5 linked regions of the Ovis aries genome follow. The protein of the gene in region 2 interacts with the protein of the main gene of each other region in a pairwise test. Links are inferred from orthologs where the notes say so. Each region holds a gene or a part of one and is shown on either strand. Other genes may lie near its edges. The genes, in order: MGAT5B, keratin-associated protein 26-1, GRN, CCNJL and GDPD5.

Region 1 (3,515 bases), on a different chromosome or scaffold from region 2:
CAGGAGGGCAGGGCCACAGGCTGACGCATCAGGAGGAATCAGGCAGTTTCTGCGGCCTGGACCTAGAAGATGCCCAGACAGGCTGGGCAGGGGTCTGAGGCTTTGCCAAGGGTGTAGAGCTGCAATGTGGAAACCTGCCTGGAAGGTCCTTTCCAGATCCTTCCTCTCTGGGAAGCACTGAGTCCCCCTCACCCTTGCTGGCAGGCCAGGGGGCAAGGTGGTCAAGGGAGTGACAGGCTACAGGTGAGGTCAGCTGGGCCAGGTCAGGCAGGGGGCTCACTCACTTCTGGAAGGCGTCCTGGCTGTTGAGGAAGGGGAAGAACGAGGGCTCACAGATCAGCCCGTGGTCCAGGCAGGCGTCCGTGCAGGCCCTCCCCGTGGCAGCCAGCCAGGCCCGGAGAGAGTGCACTGGGGGCCAGGCCCCCGGGGCTAAGCTGGTGTTGTGGGCCCATTCGAGATGGGTGGCATTGGGAGCCAGGATGAAGGGGCTTTGCGGGGCTCGGGCCCCAGGTGGGGCAGGAGCCGGGTCTACACAAAAGTCCTGCCGGGAGGAAAGCAGAGTTAGGAGGAAAATTGGGGTGCCTCTCTCCCGCCGACTCAACCTACTCCCTACTTCCCCCTCACTTGCTACCAAACTTTTAAACAGCTTTATAATAAAATGAAAAATAAAAGTATTTGGATTTCCATGCTATGATATGGAGGCTGGGATGCTAGAGCTGGGGGTCCAGGAGAGGGGCGCTCCAGGCCTGGTCTCTGAGTAGTACTGTTGTCCCCCCAACAGTCCATCTCCACCCTTCACAGGGAAGAAAACAGGCTGGAGAAAGACTGGGGGTTTAAAGCACCCTGCACCCCAGGCAGAGGTGGGTCCTCAGACTCTGGAGCCATCCCACCCCAGAGACAGAGGGTGGGGGACCCACACACCTGGTGCTGGATGTAGGCATGGATTCGCTCCAGCATCCCCTCACATGTGTACTCGTAGGGCAGGTAGGGGTCCACCTGTGGGAGAGACAGGCAGACACATGGGTCAGGAGAAACCCTGGGGCTCCCCAGACCTGGCCGCTCAGCTCTGGGAGCAGAGATCTGGGGGCTCAGGCATCCTGCACCCAGTGAGCCGACCACTCCATCCACTCAAATGCCCTGCTCCTCAGTGCACCCCGCAGTGCCCCCAGGGGCTCAGGACAGCTCATCTCTCCTTGGCTCTCTTCCAGCTACACCAAGTTTTTCCTCTTTCCCTAAAGCTCACTGTTCCATCTCCATTTGGGCTGTGATGTCTGCTCTTTCTGAGCCAACCCCTGGATTCATCCTCTCCTTCCCCGGTGGCTCAGTGGTAAAGAATCCACTGGCAGGAGACATGAGTTCAATCCCTGGGTCAGGAAGTTCATCTGGAGGAGGAAATGACAACCTTCGCTAGTATTCTTTGCTTCCCTGGTGGCTCAGCTCAGCTGGTATAGAATCCGCCTGCAACGCAGGAGACCCTGGTTTGATTCTTGGGTCAAAAACTTCCCCTGGAGAAGGGATAGGCTACCCACTCCAGTATCCTTGGGCTTCCCTGGTGGCTCAGTAAAGAATCTGCCCACAATGCGGGAGACCTGGGTTCGATCCCTGGGTTGGGAAGGTGCCCTGAAGGAGGGCATGGCAACCCACTTCAGTCTTCTTGCCTGGAGAATCCCCATGGACAGAGGAGCCTGGTGGGCTACAGGCCACGGGGTCACCAAGAGTCAGACATGACAGTGACGAAGCACAGCATAGCTTAGATGTCACCTCCTCCAGGAAGCAGACCCAGAGTACCACCTCCTGTTTAACTCCTGTTAAAAGACCACTTTCCTTGGCCCCCACCCCAGGCTTCCCCAGTGTAGAACTGGCTCCTGTGTCATCATTTCTGATGTGTCCCTTGTCTGCCTCAGGTTAGGAGCCCCATGCACTCTGGGACCATGACTTGTTCACCATCGAATCCCTGATGCCTCACCCACTGCCCGGAACACAGTCCTCACTGGGGAAGTAGTCATAGGACGGAAAAGCATCCCAGCTCTGCCTGTGTCCTGCCCAAGATGTGGAAGGTTCACGCAAAGAAACCCAGAGCATCTCTCAGTCTGATGGAATGAGATCACATCTGTGAAGCTTCCTGCCCAGATCAGGCACCTGGGAGCTCCATGAACTAGGTGCCCCAAACGGAGGCCACACACCGTCCATCTAAATATCAAAGTTACAGAGCAGCACACACTGGGGCTGATGGGAGCAGATGGATTTGGCAGCTGGGGCCCGAGAAGTGAAGGGAACAGAGAGAGGAAGTGATGAGGCACCTGCCTCCCGGGAGTGGGGACCCCCACCTCTCCTCCACTCTTCTCGCCTGACCACCCCTGCCCTGTTTACACCAACCCCCCGGTGGCCCAGCACAAAGCCAGCTTGGAGGAAAGATCGGCCAGGTGGGCAGGAGGCAAGAGCAGGCTGACCTGGGAGATAGTCCATCTCAGACTCAGAGAAAGATCTGTTTTAGTCTTCAACACCCATGCCCCACTCCCCATGTGTGTGTGTGTGTAGGGGGGGCACCACACCCAGCCAGCCCACCTCCTGTTAATGCCATTTCCCAGCCAGCAGCGCCAGAAATCAGGTAGCTTCAGCCCTGGTAGTGAAATCCTGCAGGTCTGCTCGAGGCCACACTCCCCCCGCACCTGCCCTTCCTCATCATCAGAGGTGGAGTCAGAGCCCAATCCTGCCTCCAGGAGACCCCACCTCGAGGGGCTGCAGGCCCATCCTGAGCCCTCTGGCCAGGGGGACATGCCCGACATCAAGCTGAGGAGGGTCTTGGGAAGCGGCAGCCGCCACCAGGACCGAGTCTCAGGACAAGACCCCTCCCATCTGACCTTGCCCCAGTCCTCACTTCAACTGCACTGTGAGCTGGAGTCCTTAACCCAGGGGCAGTTCCGGGGTCCCAGAGAATTCCCCGGGTCCACACCCAGCCACATTCTTCACAGCCCATCGACCAGCACAGCTTTTCAGCCCTGAGCTCTGCACAGTCAGTCCCAGCCTGAGCTGCTGGCCGCCGAGGCCCCGTCGCCAGCTGCTGCCCTAGCAGTTCCCCAGTCGCCTCGGCTACAAGGCTTCAAGTCCTGGTTTTAAATAAACCCCCCGAAGAAGAGACTTCCCCTCCAAATGTCAGTGCCTGCTCTAGCAGCAGCCGCCGAGTTATCCCCCTCGTGGTTTGAAGCCCATCACGCGGTGATTCAAAGCCGCAGCCCCCCCCGAATGAGGGGACCTTTCAGAGCAGCCACGTCCCACCTGCCGCGAATCTCCCACCGGACGAGCCAGCCTGCCTGGAAATTACCCCCATTAGGTCTAATTACAGGTGTGCACAGCGATCTGTCTCACAGAATGGCAGGTGCTGGTCCTGCTGGAATTACCGGCCTGTGATAATGAGAACGGCGGGCAGGGAGAAAGCAGGCGTCCCTCCCCCCACCTACCTGCCCCTCCTCTCCCTCCCCTCACCTCGAGTGGCCTCACCCTGGACAGAGAGATGC
Region 2 (2,843 bases):
GTTGGGGAGCTATGTGTATGTCAGAATCATCGGACCTTAAAATTTGCAGTATTGAGAAGAAAAGAAAGTGAAGCCAAAGAAGTGGGAAGGAGAGAGACAATGAAAAAAAAAAAAGAAGAAGAAGAAGCAAGAAACAAATGTAATGATGTTTGTATTTTCGTTGTATAGGAATCAGTCATAAGAAGCCATCAAAGGCTTAAGCAAGAGTGAAATACCTTTAGTTTTTGACTAGAAAGCATGTTCTGGTCAAGGCATGTTCACTGGAAGAGAGATACAGGGAGATCATTCCTAATTTTGTCTTTTCAAACTTCCACCAAAGGTTTTTGGGTCTTTTAAGGTTGTAGGATCAGAGAGATCTAGAAAGCAGTTTGAGGAGTAAACCATCAAGCTAGTCTGTGAGGTAAAAATCACATAGTTGGGTATACCAAGTCCTAGCCACTTCTCTTGTAGGCAGTTGAGGTTAGTCACACATGTGTTAAAATAAAGACAAACTGAAGCACCAGGTTCTTAGTTCTGACTTAAACGCATTTATTTTAATCCAAAGCAAATAAATTCTTCCCACACCCAATCAACATTGAAGAGCACTGCAAATCATAATTTTATGCTAAGGAGAGATGAAAAACAGATGTAAATGGGAAAGGAACAGCTTTCATTGGATCAGGCACAGGAAAAGCACAGGAACAGCTTTCATTGGATCAGGCAGCCACTACTAGCAAAGGAGCAGAAGAGCGCGGAGTTGCAATTGTCGTCTCGGATCTTCAGCGTGATCATTGCCCGGAATAAAGAAGCTACAGGCCTCCGCAGGTAGAGTAAGATGGACGGTAAGGACTGAACACATAAGGCAGAGTTTGGCATCCACTGAAGACAGGGCGTAGAGGTCTGAGGCCGCTGGACACAATGCTGATGGGTTGAAGACCACAGGGCAAAGAACCCGAGGGGCGATATCCACAAGGGAGAAGGCTCAAGGGTCGCGAGCTGCTGGACACATAGGCCAGCGGTCTATAAGACACTGAGAGGCAGGATCCAGAGAGGTAAGAAGAAGCGGGAAGAAAACTCGTTCCTTGGCTGGGTCTTGGCACATAGCAACCAGAAGAAGGGTAGCTGGAAGTTTCACAGCTGCTGGGCTCGCAGTTGGCTGGCTGGCAGCTGGTAGGTTCACTGCAGGTCTCCTGGCCATTGCTCAGGATCCAGGTTCGGTCCTGACAGCTGCTGGGCAAGCAGAGACCATCTCCTACGCTCACACTCGGAGTGTAGAGGCCGACGGAGGAGGCGACGGGAATGTGACAGGGACTCCTGAGAGACCCCAAGGTGTAGTTTCCGGAGCAGTAGTTGTGGCAAGACATGGTGAGGTTTCAGGAGCAGGTTGTCGTCTGTTGCAAAGAAGTGAGTGTCTCAGGTTTCGCCTTCGCGGTGCTGTCTTATATACCCTGACAGAAGGCGGTGATTCTGCACAGACTCTTCCGCGTTGTGTGATGCCGCGTAACAACTCTTCATTAGAGTCCAGGAAGTGATGCTTCCACCTCCCATAAAACTGGATATTCCTTGCAAGGCTTTCCATTGATTAAGGATATCTATAAAGCAGCATGACCAGATTTAAATAGTATCTGTGCTCCTTAAATTACCCAACCAAGACAGATATTTTGAAGGTCGTTTTCTTAATTCCAATAATAATCGCCACTCCATAAGTGAACAAAGCTAGAGGAGCTGATGGAATTCCAGTGGAGCTATTTCAAATCCTGAAAGATGATGCTGTGAAAGTGCTGCACTCAATATGCCAGCAAATTTGGAAAACCCAGAAGTGGCCACAGGACTGGAAAAGGTCAGTTTTCATTCCAATCCCAAAGAAAAGCAATGCCAAAGAATGCTCAAACTACCACACAATTGCACTCATCTCACACGCTAACAAAGTAATGCTTAAAATTCCCCAAGTCAGGCTTTAGCAATGCGTGAACTGTGAACTTCCAGATGTTCAAGCTGCCTTTAGAAAAGGCAGAAGAACCAGAGAACAAACTGCTAACATCTGCTGGATCATCAAAAAAGCAAGAGAGTTCCAGAGAAACATATATTTCTGCTTTATTGACTATGCCAAAACCTTTGACTGTGTGGATCACAATAAACTGTGGAAAATTCTGAGAGAGATGGGAATACAGACCACCTGACCTGCCTCTTGAGAAATCTGTATGCAGGTCAGGAAACAACAGTTAGAATTGGACATGGAACAACAGACTGGTTCCAAATAGGAAAATGAGTATGTCAAGGCTGTATATTGTCACCCTGCTTATTTAACTTATATACAGAGTACATCATGAGAAACACTGGACTGGAAGAAACACAAGTTGGAATCAAGATTGCCGGGAGAAATATCAATAACCTCAGATACGCAGATGACACCACCCTTATGGCAGAAAGTGAAGAGGAACTAAAGAGCCTCTTGATGAAAGTGAAAGAGGAGAGTGAAACAGTTGGCTTAAAGCTCAACATTCAGAAAACGAAGATCATGGCATCTGGTCCCATCACTTCATAGCAAAAAGATGGGGAAACAGTGGAAACATTGGCAGACTTTATTTTTCTGGGCTTCAAAATCACTGCAGATCGTGATTACAGCCATGAAATTAAGACACTTTCTCCTTGGAAGGAAAGTTATGACCAACCTAGATAGCATATTGAAAAGCAGAGACATTACTTTGCCAAAAAGATCTGTCTAGTCAAGGCTATGGTTTTTCCAGTGGTCATGTATGGATGTGAGAGTTGGACTGTGAAGAAAGCTGAGCACCGAAGAATTGATGCATTTGAACTGTGGTGTTGCAGAAGACTCTTGAGAGTCCCTTGGACTGCAAGGAGAT
Region 3 (4,206 bases), on a different chromosome or scaffold from region 2:
CCTGCAAAGTGCCAAGAAGCATTTGGCAACTGGCTTAAGCTGAGGCCACCCTTGATTCTGGGACCAGTCACTGCCCCCTGCCGAAGGCCCAGGACCATCTGAGCCTCCACAACAACAGCCTGTCCGGGCAAGAAGATGCGGGGCTTGAGGCTCAGCTTCCTACGTGTGTCCTGTGCGGGGGTCACACGTGCACCAGCGAGTGTACATCCATGAGCATGAATGCTGGCATGCGTACGTGAGTGAATCTGTGTCCCCAGTGCATGGCCTAACAGTTGAATCTCTGTGGCTGAGTGTGTGCAGATGTGGGTATGTGAGAGTCCGGAAGATCTGTGGGTTTTGTGGGCCTGAGCTGTGGGGAGGTAAGCCACCTCCATGGGGGTGGGAAAGACATCAGTTGCCCTAGGAAGAAAGAACTGAAGTCTCCCCTTGAAGGAAAGCCAGGGTTTCACTTCCCGAGCCAGTGCCTCCAGTTGCCTCTTCACCCAATGCTGTGTTCACACCTGCCCTCTGCTAAGGCCTGCTGGCAGGGGAGGGGAGGTCACATGATGACATGATCAACCACGGGGTTGAGAAAGTTGTGAAAAAGGAAGCATGATGTTGACGGAGTCTGGGCTGCCTTCCCCAAAGGCCAGCCACCACCTGCCTGCTGACTGTCCCCTCCCCATCCAAAGGAGACGCATAGGCTTGGTCAACCTTTGGGTCACCTGTGCTCCATGGGCCCCCAATACAACCAGGACCTTTCTTTTAAAAATTTTTTAATTAAAAAAATTGGGGGGCCATGCCCATGCAGCATGTTGGTTCTTAGTTCCCTGATCAGGGATTGAACCCATGCCCCCTACATTGGGAGCTTGGAGTCTTAACCACCAGACTGCCAGGGAAGTCCCACACCAGGCCCTTTCAGGATCCTCAAACATTCCCACCACCCTTCCCCTCCACCTCTCCCTATCCTGGAGCAGAAACCCAGCTGCATGTAGAGAGCCCATGTGTGCCCACCAGGCTGCCATCCACATCAGCAGAAGGAAGCAAGCCTCATTCTCTGAAGGGGAGTGGCCTTTCACTTCCTGAACAACTCTTCCCCCAAGCTCAGCCAGCCCTGCTAGTTCAATGGGGCAGGCCCAGAAGATCTTACCCTGTCTAGAGGGGCCAAAACAGTCATGTGTGCTGAACCAGTTAGAAGCCAGTGACAACATTCTACATATTTTCTTTTTTTTTTTTTTCTGTAACAACCATGCAAAGTAGGAATTATTACCTTTACTTTTCTAAGGAGGAAACTGAGGCTTAGAGATAGGAAGTAACCCGCCTATGTCAAATATCAAAACATAGAGATGACAGGCTCTGATGGCTCCAGAGTATATTGGACCTGGGTTCACAAGTGGTACCACGGACAGTGCCTGGGACAGGCCCCCCAAACCCAAGGAGGATAGAAGCCTGGTGTCCAAGCAGAGAAGAGGGATAGAAATGTTTCTCTGGGCAAGTAGACTGGACCCAGACAGAAATGTGGGGTACAGGGGCTGCCTGGATACTGCACATGAGTGCTAGAATGAAGGCCTCAGAAGTTGCTTCCTGTCTTTAGGCCTCAGTTCTCAGTCAGTCTATGGGTGGACACTGCACACTTTGTGTGGCAGAGAATAGCACACACAGGGTCACTCACATCCTCTCTCCCTCACCTGGCTTTCCTCACCGCCCTCTCCCCAACTCAAAGACCACCCCCTGGAGGCTATCTCCTGTACAGGAGAGGCTGAAGAAGACTGGTCCTGGACCTTGGCCCCTTTCACTCTCTTCCCCAATGCCCACAGCTCCCTGGAAAGGGAGCTGGCCGCCCTGCTTTTTAGGAGTCCAATCATAACCCTGCAGACTCGCTGGCCTGCCCTGGCCAGGAGGGATGCCTGTCTGCACACATCTCTGACTACTCAGCACCCTAGTGATTCATTTAGGTACATCCTTCTTCCTGGGTATCCTGGGGTTTGGAAGTAGTGTACGCTTCTACTGAATACACATATATGTACGCGCGCACACACACACTCAGAACCAGAATGGGGAAGAGGGAACCCAGTTCATCTCAGTAGGGTTCCAAGTGGTGGCACCCCAACCCGACACTGCCACTACAGAGAGGGAGGACACTGCCTCTTCAAGTCCCCAGCTCCGTCATCTTCCACTAGATGGCAGCCCCCCACTTCGAGTGCCAGGAGAAAGATTTCCCAAAAGGTGAGCCAACCCAACAGCGGAGAGAGCAAGAAAAAGTGGCCGGGGGAGGCGGAAGTTAGCCCCACGAGAGGAAGTTAGAGAGAGTCAGACACATCCCAGGGGTTCAATCACCACTCCCAAGTCCCTACTGTCTTTGAGGAGACCAGGATCACAAGCCCTACTCCCAGCCCTCTGAGCTCGGGGGCCAGGGGCGGGTGCCTCGCTTGCTGCCAGGCGCAGCGGGGACTGCCCACCAGCACCACTACCAGCACCTGCCGACGGGGGCGGAGTCGACTCAAGAACAGAGTGATCTCTGCTTTGGGAGAAGGGGCTGCAGCCTCCAGGGGTGCTGGAGAGAGAGCCCCTTCTAATGGGGGTCACTGCAATTACTGTTTACTCCCACCACCCATAAAACTCCCTCCAGTGCATCGGAGTTTCTATAAGAGAATCTTTTTTTTTGTATCACCGCTGAAACTCCAGAGGAGCCCCATCTCCCACGTCCCCCAGGCTGGGCCCCTAAGAAGGAGCAAGCGAAGTCCACCCTCCTTACCTGCGTCGGGGTCCGCGATCGCTGGGTAGCAGCGGTCAGGCAGCTCATCCACTTGGGCCACTCGGCTCGATGGCCCACCCACTTCAATTTCCATTGGTCAGGTGTCCGGAATGTCGCACTCCCATTGGCTACTCGTCGACGTAAAGGCGGGGCCAACCTGGGATCCTGTGTTTCTTTTCCTACTCAATTCACTCCCCTCCCTCCTTCCTCTCTCTCCCCAACCCCCCATTTCTAGGGATCATGTGATTGGAGAATCATGTGACGCCCTGGGACGGCTCAGCCTGCTTGCGGGTGCCCGCTGCCTTCTGTTAACCCATCCCGAGAGTCAGCTCCTTTTCGGGGACATTGAGAGCCAAGAGATCTGTCCCTTAGTGGGTGCGTTCAAGAGCATTTAAGGGGTGTCTCTTGGATTTAGAACAGTTGTGCATCCTGTCTCTATTCTGTTCATCCCATGCAGATTTAGTGCTCGGCAGCCGGGCCCCAACGGGGACTGAAGGAGAGTTGTGAGGGCAAGGATAAACAGACCTCAGGTCCTTTCCTCAAGGTGCTCACAGCAGGGGATGGGGAGGGGGTAGGAGAATCGTGTTCCAGGTGCTCCAGGTGTGTGTAGAGAAGAAGTAGTTGGTTAGATCTGAGCAGGAAAAAAGTGCCACCTTGGGGGCACTTTTTGAAGCTGAGTCTGGGAGGATTTTAAGTGGCAAGTGGAGACGGGTTGGAGAAGTAGCTAGACAGAGGGTATTGGGAAAAGCATTAGAAAACCAGATGGAAGGGCAGCCTTGGGCGGGGATTGAATGCCAGGTTCAGTGAAGTGGACTTGTGGAGTTGCTGGGTGTGTGGCACCAGGCTGGGCTGACTGTGGGTGTGGGTGCATACCGGAAGTAGCTCCTTAGTTTCAGTCAAGCCCTTACCTTTCAGGAATTGATTTGTTGATGCGCGCGTTAGCGAGCGTGTGTACTCGGTCGTATCCGACTCTGCGACCCCATGAACTATATAGCCCACAAGTCTCTGTCCGTGGAATTTTCCAGGCAAGAATATAGGAGTGGATTGCCATTCCCTTCTCCAGGGATGAAACCGCAGTCTCCTGGGTCTCCTGCTTTGCAAGTAGATTCTTTACCACTGAGCCACCAGGGAAGCCGTAAAGTGAAAGTGTTAGTCGCTCAGTTGTGTCCGACTTTTTGAGACCCCATGGACTGTAGCTTTCTAGGCTCTTCTGTCCATGTAATTCTCCAGGAAAAAATACTGGAGTGGGTAGCCATTTCCTTCTCTAGTGGATTTTCTCAACCCAGGGATCAAACCTGTGTCTTGCACATTGCAGGCAGATTCTTTACCATCTTAGCCACCAAGGAAGCCAGTGAGGGAGAAAAAAAAAAAACCGCACAGAACAGATTCACCAGCAGCAGGAGCTAGACTGCTTGGTGCCCTTTATGGGGCCTGGCCCAGGCAGAGGTGGGTGATGGGAGATGTACCAGGAG
Region 4 (3,988 bases), on a different chromosome or scaffold from region 2:
AGAAGTGTTGTCATCCCTCCCCCACCCCCCATCTACCCACAATTGTTAGAATTTTATTTAAAAAGTTAATTTGTGCAAAGTTGGTATTTTCACCTTTTTCTATTTCCTCAAACTTTTCTTATTCTGCTCAACCTTTATAATTTCTTTATTAAGAGCCTGTATTTATTAATGCTTATTCATTGTTATTTTTCACTTTTACAAGGTGTTTTTTTTTTTAACATTAAAACTTCTCTTTAAGCACCTATTGAAGCTTATCAAAGCTGATTTAAAAATTTCTTTCCAGCTGGGTACCTGCCTGTAGGAAACTAGTCAGAAACCAAAGCCTCCTTTGTAGCAGCTAGTTATTGAGTGTTTGTTTTATACTTGGCATGGGGATTATCCCTTTATACGAATTATCTTATTTAACGATGCAGTATCTCCAGCAGATTGGTGTAGTTTTTATTCCCAATTTTCACATGAGGGTGGGTTCCCAGAGAGTCTGAGGAACATGGCAAAAGTCATCCAGTCGGTAGCTGGAATTGAAACGGGTGACTCTCCAAAAGTATCACAAAAAGCAATCAATTTGTTGTTCCATCAGAGGGGCTGGTTCAAGGGAGTGTCTTTCCGAAAACAAATTAAAACTAAATTAAAAAGACAGTGCTTCCATCCACCTGACCCTCCAGAAACACTGGTTTTCTCCCAATGTAACGAGTAGATCTATACTTTGCAGGAGCACAAAACAAAATCCGTTGATTTACTGAGCCTCCTTCAGAAACAAGGACTCTTGGATAATCAAGAGCGGGTTTGGGGGGCTTCCGTGGGAATTTTACATTTAGACAGCCATCTCCGCATTTCAGGACTAGTTAAAAAGAAAAAACAGGTGGAACCGACTAAAGGTAGGTAAGAACAGCGCACGCGAGAGACAGAACTTTCTGGGGGCATCCTGCCCGCGTCCTTCACGAGCGGCGCGCGCAGGTGGCGCCGCGGTCCCAGCGCTGCCCGCGTGAGCACACGGGTGTCCAGGAGACCACCGGGAGTCCCCGCGAAGGTGAGAGGAAGCTTTCCACCCAGGCGGGGGTGGAGTGCGGACTGGAAAAACAGCCAGCTCTGGCGAAAGAAAGACTCCAATTCCCAGCCCCCAGCCCCGCGGGGTGCGGGGGCCGGCGGCGCATGCGCGAGGCCCGGCCCCCAATTCCCCCAGCGAAGGAGGGAGGCCCCCGGCGGCCCGGAGGCTGCGAGCCGCGGCGGGACCCGAGCGCAAGCAGGGGCGCGGCGGCGGCACGGGCGAGCAGGGCTACGGAGGCGGCCGTCGAGAGCTTGGAGCGCCCCGCGCCAGGGCCGCCTTTGCTTGCAGGCACCCGAGGGCACAGCCGGCTCGGCCCTGGGAAGAGCCCGGCGCCCGCAGCCCCCCACCTCCGGAGAGGGATGCGTGAGTTTCGCCCCGGCTGGAGGGCAGGATGTGGGAGCAGGACAAAGGCTGGGCGGCGGGGGAGGAGTTGGGGACGGCGAGCCGGTGGCGGCTGCCGGAGCCCCGGCCTCTGGAGAGCTAGCGGAGTCTGCAACTTTCTGTGCAACTTTTGCAAAAAGGAAGATAAAATTTCTGCAAGTTGTTGCAGAGCTTCAGGTCGCCTCAGGTCCCACGAGTAAAGGGGAGGGGACGGTGCAGCCTTCTTGGGATAGGAGGCGACCGTCCTCCGCTGAGTGGTGCAGAAGGGGGCGCCCGGCAGAGGCCCGAGCCGAGGACAAGAGAGGATGGGGATGCCGGGGTAGGAGCTGGGGGGCGCGCTTCGGGCTCTGAAGTTGCCTGTGTCCACTCAGGGTGTGCCCTCAAAACCCGGTAGCCTCGGAGAGCGGCGCTGCAGACGCGATGATGGATGAGCCGTGGTGGGAAGGGCGCGTCGCCTCGGACGTCCACTGCACCCTGCGCGAGAAGGTCAGTCCCTCCCCGTCCTTGTCACTCGCAGGACTGGGTATGTAAAGTCCCTTTCGCTCTTGACTCCATATCTTCGGGTCGCCCTGCGTCGGAGCTAGGAACTCCCGGTGCCTTTCTTTCCTTCTGCCCTTAGCCTCCTCCGGGGACAGTCGCGGGAAGAAGGGGAATGAGAAACGGGACTGGAGAGCTTAAATTGGTTTTTCTGCATAGGAGCCCAGAGTTCTTAGACAACTAAACTGTACTGCTTAAGGTGGTATTTCCCATAGTATTGTCACCCGAGATTATTTTAAAGGATACATGAACGGACTTAAAAAAAAAAAAGTTATCGTGTATTGACTGTGCAATTTAAAAACATGTATCTAGCAATCTCTGTGTAGAATAAATGATGCTGATTTTCCATTTATTGTAACGATATAGCAGTTCCTTTAAATATGTTTCTTTAAGTAAAAGTAGTAACATGATATAAAGAACAGTTAGGTTAATACTAGACTAAGACATATGTAGTTATGCCCCACCCCCAAAATATCTAGGATGGGACTGAATAAGATTTTAGAAACACTAGTCTAAAGGAGAGGCTACAGAACTAGGAGAATGGGGAGAAAACCAGCACTCCCCTGCCAGTGTGCCTCCACTGGCAGAAGATGGGGACAGCTGAAATATGATCTCTGCTCTCCCCCACCCCTTAAAGGGAGAAGTGCTGATAGGCTCTGGGAAGGTGGCGGACTGCAGGTGGGTTAGAGGTATGGCCTGTGTGTCTTGTCTCCTGCCCCTGAGCTGAGACTGGGAAGGGTGGTTTGGGGAACAGATGTGTAATGAAAGGTGTGTATGGAGAAGGCAATGGCACCTCACTCCAAAACTCTTGCCTGGAAAATCCCATGGATGGAGGAGCCTGGTAGGCTGCAGTCCATGGGGTCGCAAAGAGTCAGACATGACTGAGCGACTTCACTTTCACTTTTCACTTTCATGCATTGGAGAAGGACATGGCAACCCACTCCAGTGTTCTTGCCTAGAGAATCCCAGGGACAGAGGAGCCTGGTAGGAGGCCGTCTATGGGGCTGCACAGAGTTGGATGTGACTGAAGCGACTTAGCAGCAGCAGCAGCATTGGTTTCCTAGGGCTGCTGGACAAGCTACCACAAACCTGGGGCCTTAATAAAAATGTGCTCTCTGACAGTTCTGGAGGCTGGAAGTCCGCAGTTAAGGTGTTAGCAGGGCCACATTGCTCCTTGGCTTTCCTTGGCTGGTAGATGCATCGCTCTGCCTCTGCCTCTTGTCACATGGTGTTCTGTCGGTATGTCTGTCTGTGCCTCTGTTTTCTCACCTTATAAGGACACCAGTCGTTGGAATGGGGGCTGCTTGACCTCATCTTAATTTAATTAATTACATCAGAAAAGACCCTATTTCCAAATAAAGCCATTCTGAGGTTCTGGGTAGACATGAATTTTGGGGGGACGCTATCCAACCCAGTACAGCGAGGGGTAGGTCTCCTTAGTGAGTCCCTGGGTCACATCCAGTGCATTTGCACCCAATGTCTGTGGAGTTCTGCCTAAAAAGTCATTAGCTATTCAGAGTTTTTTCCTCATGAGGGGGTAGCTGTATTCCAGTCCAATTATCTTATCTTGTTTCCTGTACCTAGTAGTCCATCTCTGTTTTGCATTGCTTGTCAGGCTGCGGCTTTCCTCTGCTTCCCTTGGTTTTTCTCCCCAGAACAGTACGGCCCAAGGTGCAAGCATAGCAAGGCATATGGAAAAGAAATCCAGATCTTGGTGGTTCAGGTAACATGCCGGCAGTGGGAGTGGTAGACCAGGTAGTAAGGTCTTGGTCCTTTTCTGGAGGTGGTGGCTAGATGAATTAGTGAGGCCTGCCGTAAAAACGGGGCTTGCTTGTTCTTTGCAGGTGCCAGTGGTTGTCAGCTCTGCTGGTAGCTTAGGGGAATGGCTTTGACCTCATTGGTTCCTTTCTGGCAGGAAGGATTTCTGAGAGCAGTATAAACTCAACCAGCTCAGTTACCTGAGAATCCTCGACCTTTTGTATATAAATAAGAATGTTCTCATCGCTCCTTCAGCCACTCAAAGGA
Region 5 (3,515 bases), on a different chromosome or scaffold from region 2:
TCCTGGGCAAGGGGAGCGGATGTAGGGTTCTGGAGGTAAGAGGGCTGGAGAGCCATGGCTGAGAGTCGGTGGACTCTGATCAGGCCCCAGCTCTGCCCTTCTCTGGGCTTCAGATTCCCCACAGATTCTATACAGTCAGACAAGATTCCTGCTGGTCTCTCGGGCCAGTTCCAGAGAGTCTGTGGAAGTGGGCATGATCCCTGCTCCAAGGAAGGGTGGGGAAGGACCTGATGCCCACGGGGCCGTCTCTGCAGGTGGCGCCTGGGTGGCATCCGGAGCTACAACCCCGAGCAGATCATGCTGAGTGCCGCAGTGCGCCGGACCAGCCGAGACGTCAGCATCATGAAGGAGAAGCTCATCTTCTCAGGTGTGCAACTCCACAGACAGGTTGAGACAGGCTCTGGGCTCTGTTCTCTGCACCCTGCAGGTTCACACGGGTGTGTGTACACATATTTCACATGCAGCATGCACAGACAGGCACATGGCACAGACATACGTATACCCACCTGGCTTCATGTCACAATGACACGGAAGCACACACACGCACCCCTCCACCTGCAGCCATCAGCTCCAGGTCCTGTGGCTCAGTGTCAGCCCCAGGGGTGGTGGGCTAGGGTGACATGCTGGGGTTGGGGGAGGAGTCTGCTTTGAAGGTCCATCCTGCCATATGCCTGGTTCATACAGGAACCCCACAAATGTTGATTTCCCCCCCTGCTTGCTGCCTGTTGACATTCCCAGACTGAAGGAGGAAGCAGCTGTACAAACAAATACATGGAGAATTAGATATAACAGATGGGGATGCAAGGAGGAGAGGGGTTCAGCACTGCCTGGGACAGTGAGGAAGGCTTCAGGCCCACTTTGTGAGGAGTGATGTCATTGAAATGGAAAGGAATGATAGGAGGGGCCTGGCTGATGGGTTTGAGGTGAGGACTGCGCAAGCAGAGGGAAGGAAGGGCACTCCAGGCAGGAACAGCATGTGTTCAGAGGCAGCGAGGAATGCCTACTTGCTGGGCACCAAGAACTCCAGGTCACTCCGCATGGCTTGAAGGGAGTGCCTCTGGCTGGTTCACCCCAAGGTGGCACTGGGGAGGCACTTGGGCCTGAGTGTGTGGTCAGGAGCTTGAGCTTTGTTCTGGAAGCAGAGGAGGGTCACAGATAGGTTTGCCTTTGTTACAGTAGGGCTGTAACAAAGTACCACGCGCTTAGAACAGAGATGGCTTAAAGGTGGCTTAAAAACAGAGATGTATCGTCTCACAGTTGGGAATGCTGAGTCCACGATCAAGGTGTCAACAGGGCTGTGAGGGAAAAATCTGGTCCTGGCCTCTCCCCTTGCCTCGCGAATGCATCTCTGTGTTTGAAGCTCTCCTTTGCAAGGACACCAGTCCGCTCTAACGACATCACCTTAACTAATTACATCTGCTGTGACCTTATTACCAGAGAGAGTCACATGCGGAGTGTAGGAATATAGGAATTTGAGGGGAACACAATTCAACCTCTTTTTGGGGGGTGGGCACACCACACAGCTTATGGGATCTTAGTTCCCTGACCAGGAATTGAACCCATGCCCCCCTGCAGTGGAAGCATGGAGACCTAACCACTGGACTGCCAGGGAAGTCCCCACAATTCAATCCCTAACAAGTGTGGAGGGTGGTAGGTTAGAATGGGAAGCTGAAAGCAAGGAAACCAATAATTCAGATGGGAATCGTGGGCATGGAAATGGGAAAGGAGAGATCTGGGAGGTATTTACAAGCCAGATGGCCCTGGATTCAAAGCCCAGCTTACGCCCCTCGCTGTGTGAACAAGAATGTGTTACCTAACCTACCTCAGCCTCAGACATCTCATCTGTAAAATGGGCGAGGTTTCCCTCACAGAGTACTTGTGAGGGTTAGTGCCATGCCTGGCCCAGAGGGGTGCTTGCTAAATGCTGCTTGAATGAACCTGGACCCAGAGTGGGTGGTTGTGGTTTTAGGGGGGGCTGGCTCCAACGACTGTGTGAACGTCCACTCATTCAGTCACTCCATTCACCCTTCTTTCAAGGCGTGGCAGGCACTGCTCCGGGTGCTAAGGATATGCAGATTCTTGCCTCTGGGATGCTCGACTCCTCCTACCCTCACTCAAAACCCTCCTCCTGGGAGCCTTCCCTGAGCACCAGAGCTGGGTTGGAGGGCCTACCCTAGTGTTCCACAGCTCTCTGGCAACACTGAGGAGCTCCTGGAAGGAGGAGCCAGAACAGGGCGTCTGGGATCCTCAGGCTCCTGCACTGTACCTGACTCCGAGAAGCCAGAAGGGGTGGGTAGAATGAATGGAAGGCAGGCCAGCACTTAGGCCTGTCAGATCCTGCACCCCACCCCTCACCTTTCCTGCAGTGCCAAAGGCCATTCACTTAGCATCTTCTGGGTGCTGGCCCTGAGGAATCAACCACAGGTCTTACCCTCTGCCCATTCCTGGTTGAGAAGTCCTCTCTAGGGACCGTCAGCCCCACCCAGGCACCTGGAGTCCCCTTGGGGAGGCTTCGCTGCCCTCAGCAGACCTTTTCTGAGGCTCTGCTGTGCGTCCAGCACTGCACCAGGCACTGGGAACACTGATGCCCAGGCCTCATCCGTGTCCTTGAAGTGCTCCGGCTGAAGGGGGTCACAGATGGTGATGGAGCAGGGGGAGCAGCAGGGGGCAGGGTGAGGAGGCCCCCTCCCAGCCTGGGAGCAGTAACAGAAATGAGAAGAATTTAGCCAGGTTTTAAGAAAAGGAGGTGATGTTGGGGGGTCGTGCCCAGGAGATAGGCCAATGTGTGCAAAGCCCCAGGGAGAGTAAACACGCCGGTGCCACGCTCAGGAGGGTGCAGGTAGTTTTCTGTGGCTTGAGGGTAGAGTTCCAGGGGAGAGGAGAATGAGGCGCAACCAGAGTGTTTGCAGAGACTGAGAAGGGCCTTGAATGCCAGACTCACACACCAGTACCACACCTGAAACCTGAGGTTGCATCAGCCTCCAAGTGCCTGCTCGGGAGTTGCTACAGGCCACGCCTCCCCACCGCATCTGCCAGTCCTCCTTATGTGCCCCCTCTCCTCCCTGCACTCACATCTTGCCTCCCTGTGGCCCAACAGAGATCAGCGATGGCATGGAGGTCTCCGATGAGCTCTCCGTATGTTCGGACAACAGTTACGACACGTATGCTGACAGCGCCACCGCCCCGGTGGCCCCTCGGGGGAGCGGCAGCCGTGCCAAGACCCTCACAGACCGGAGTGGGCGTTAGCTGAAGACCCGTCTGTCCAGCTGTACCTCGTGTGGAGACAAGAGAAGCGCACAGAGCTGGCAGGAGCATGCTCGGGGCGCTGACTCCACAGCCTCCTCATAGGCTCTGGCCCCTTGTCAGCCACGGCCTCTCTTGGAGGGGCTCCCCTCTAGCCTCTCAGATGCCCCTGCAGGCCTGGGGCTCCGTTTTCTGGGAAGTTTGGGGCCCAGGGCCCGGGGCCTGGTCGACTCCCTGAGGCCCTCCTTGGCATCCTTACCTGGAAGCTTTGG

The links.
Region 1: the proteins of keratin-associated protein 26-1 (region 2) and MGAT5B interact in a two-hybrid assay, tested with the Homo sapiens proteins (3 studies listed by BioGRID and IntAct). The two-hybrid records come from large-scale screens. The link is inferred for Ovis aries from reciprocal best matches to the Homo sapiens genes KRTAP26-1 and MGAT5B.
Region 3: the proteins of keratin-associated protein 26-1 (region 2) and GRN interact in binary tests that used the Homo sapiens proteins (3 or more experiments, as listed by UniProt). The two-hybrid records come from large-scale screens. The link is inferred for Ovis aries from reciprocal best matches to the Homo sapiens genes KRTAP26-1 and GRN.
Region 4: the proteins of keratin-associated protein 26-1 (region 2) and CCNJL interact in binary tests that used the Homo sapiens proteins (3 or more experiments, as listed by UniProt). The two-hybrid records come from large-scale screens. The link is inferred for Ovis aries from reciprocal best matches to the Homo sapiens genes KRTAP26-1 and CCNJL.
Region 5: the proteins of keratin-associated protein 26-1 (region 2) and GDPD5 interact in a two-hybrid assay, tested with the Homo sapiens proteins (2 studies listed by BioGRID and IntAct). The two-hybrid records come from large-scale screens. The link is inferred for Ovis aries from reciprocal best matches to the Homo sapiens genes KRTAP26-1 and GDPD5.

What each region holds. Positions count from the first base shown.
Region 1 is NC_056064.1:54,245,287-54,248,801, forward strand, and holds part of MGAT5B (alpha-1,6-mannosylglycoprotein 6-beta-N-acetylglucosaminyltransferase B), read right to left. Parts: intron 997-3,515; coding exon 922-996; intron 542-921; coding exon 285-541; intron 1-284. UniProt on the Homo sapiens protein: Glycosyltransferase that acts on alpha-linked mannose of N-glycans and O-mannosyl glycans.
Region 2 is NC_056054.1:126,218,546-126,221,388, reverse strand, and holds keratin-associated protein 26-1, read right to left. Parts: upstream 1,395-2,843; 5' UTR 1,344-1,394; coding exon 789-1,343; 3' UTR 772-788; coding exon of another isoform or gene 711-771; 3' UTR 508-710; downstream 1-507. Other genes in the region: keratin-associated protein 24-1, read right to left, coding at 711-771. UniProt on the Homo sapiens protein: In the hair cortex, hair keratin intermediate filaments are embedded in an interfilamentous matrix, consisting of hair keratin-associated proteins (KRTAP), which are essential for the formation of a rigid and resistant hair shaft through their extensive disulfide bond cross-linking with abundant cysteine residues of hair keratins.
Region 3 is NC_056064.1:43,885,867-43,890,072, reverse strand, and holds the start of GRN (progranulin), read right to left. Parts: upstream 2,811-4,206; 5' UTR 1,130-2,810; intron 2-1,129; 5' UTR 1-1. UniProt on the Homo sapiens protein: Secreted protein that acts as a key regulator of lysosomal function and as a growth factor involved in inflammation, wound healing and cell proliferation. Regulates protein trafficking to lysosomes, and also the activity of lysosomal enzymes.
Region 4 is NC_056058.1:69,446,923-69,450,910, reverse strand, and holds the start of CCNJL (cyclin-J-like protein), read left to right. Parts: upstream 1-1,178; 5' UTR 1,179-1,408; intron 1,409-1,797; 5' UTR 1,798-1,846; coding exon of another isoform or gene 1,847-1,853; coding exon 1,854-1,949; intron 1,950-3,988.
Region 5 is NC_056068.1:53,340,629-53,344,143, reverse strand, and holds part of GDPD5 (glycerophosphodiester phosphodiesterase domain-containing protein 5), read left to right. Parts: exon of another isoform or gene 1-247; intron 248-254; coding exon 255-367; intron 368-3,097; coding exon 3,098-3,246; 3' UTR 3,247-3,515. UniProt on the Homo sapiens protein: Glycerophosphodiester phosphodiesterase that promotes neurite formation and drives spinal motor neuron differentiation.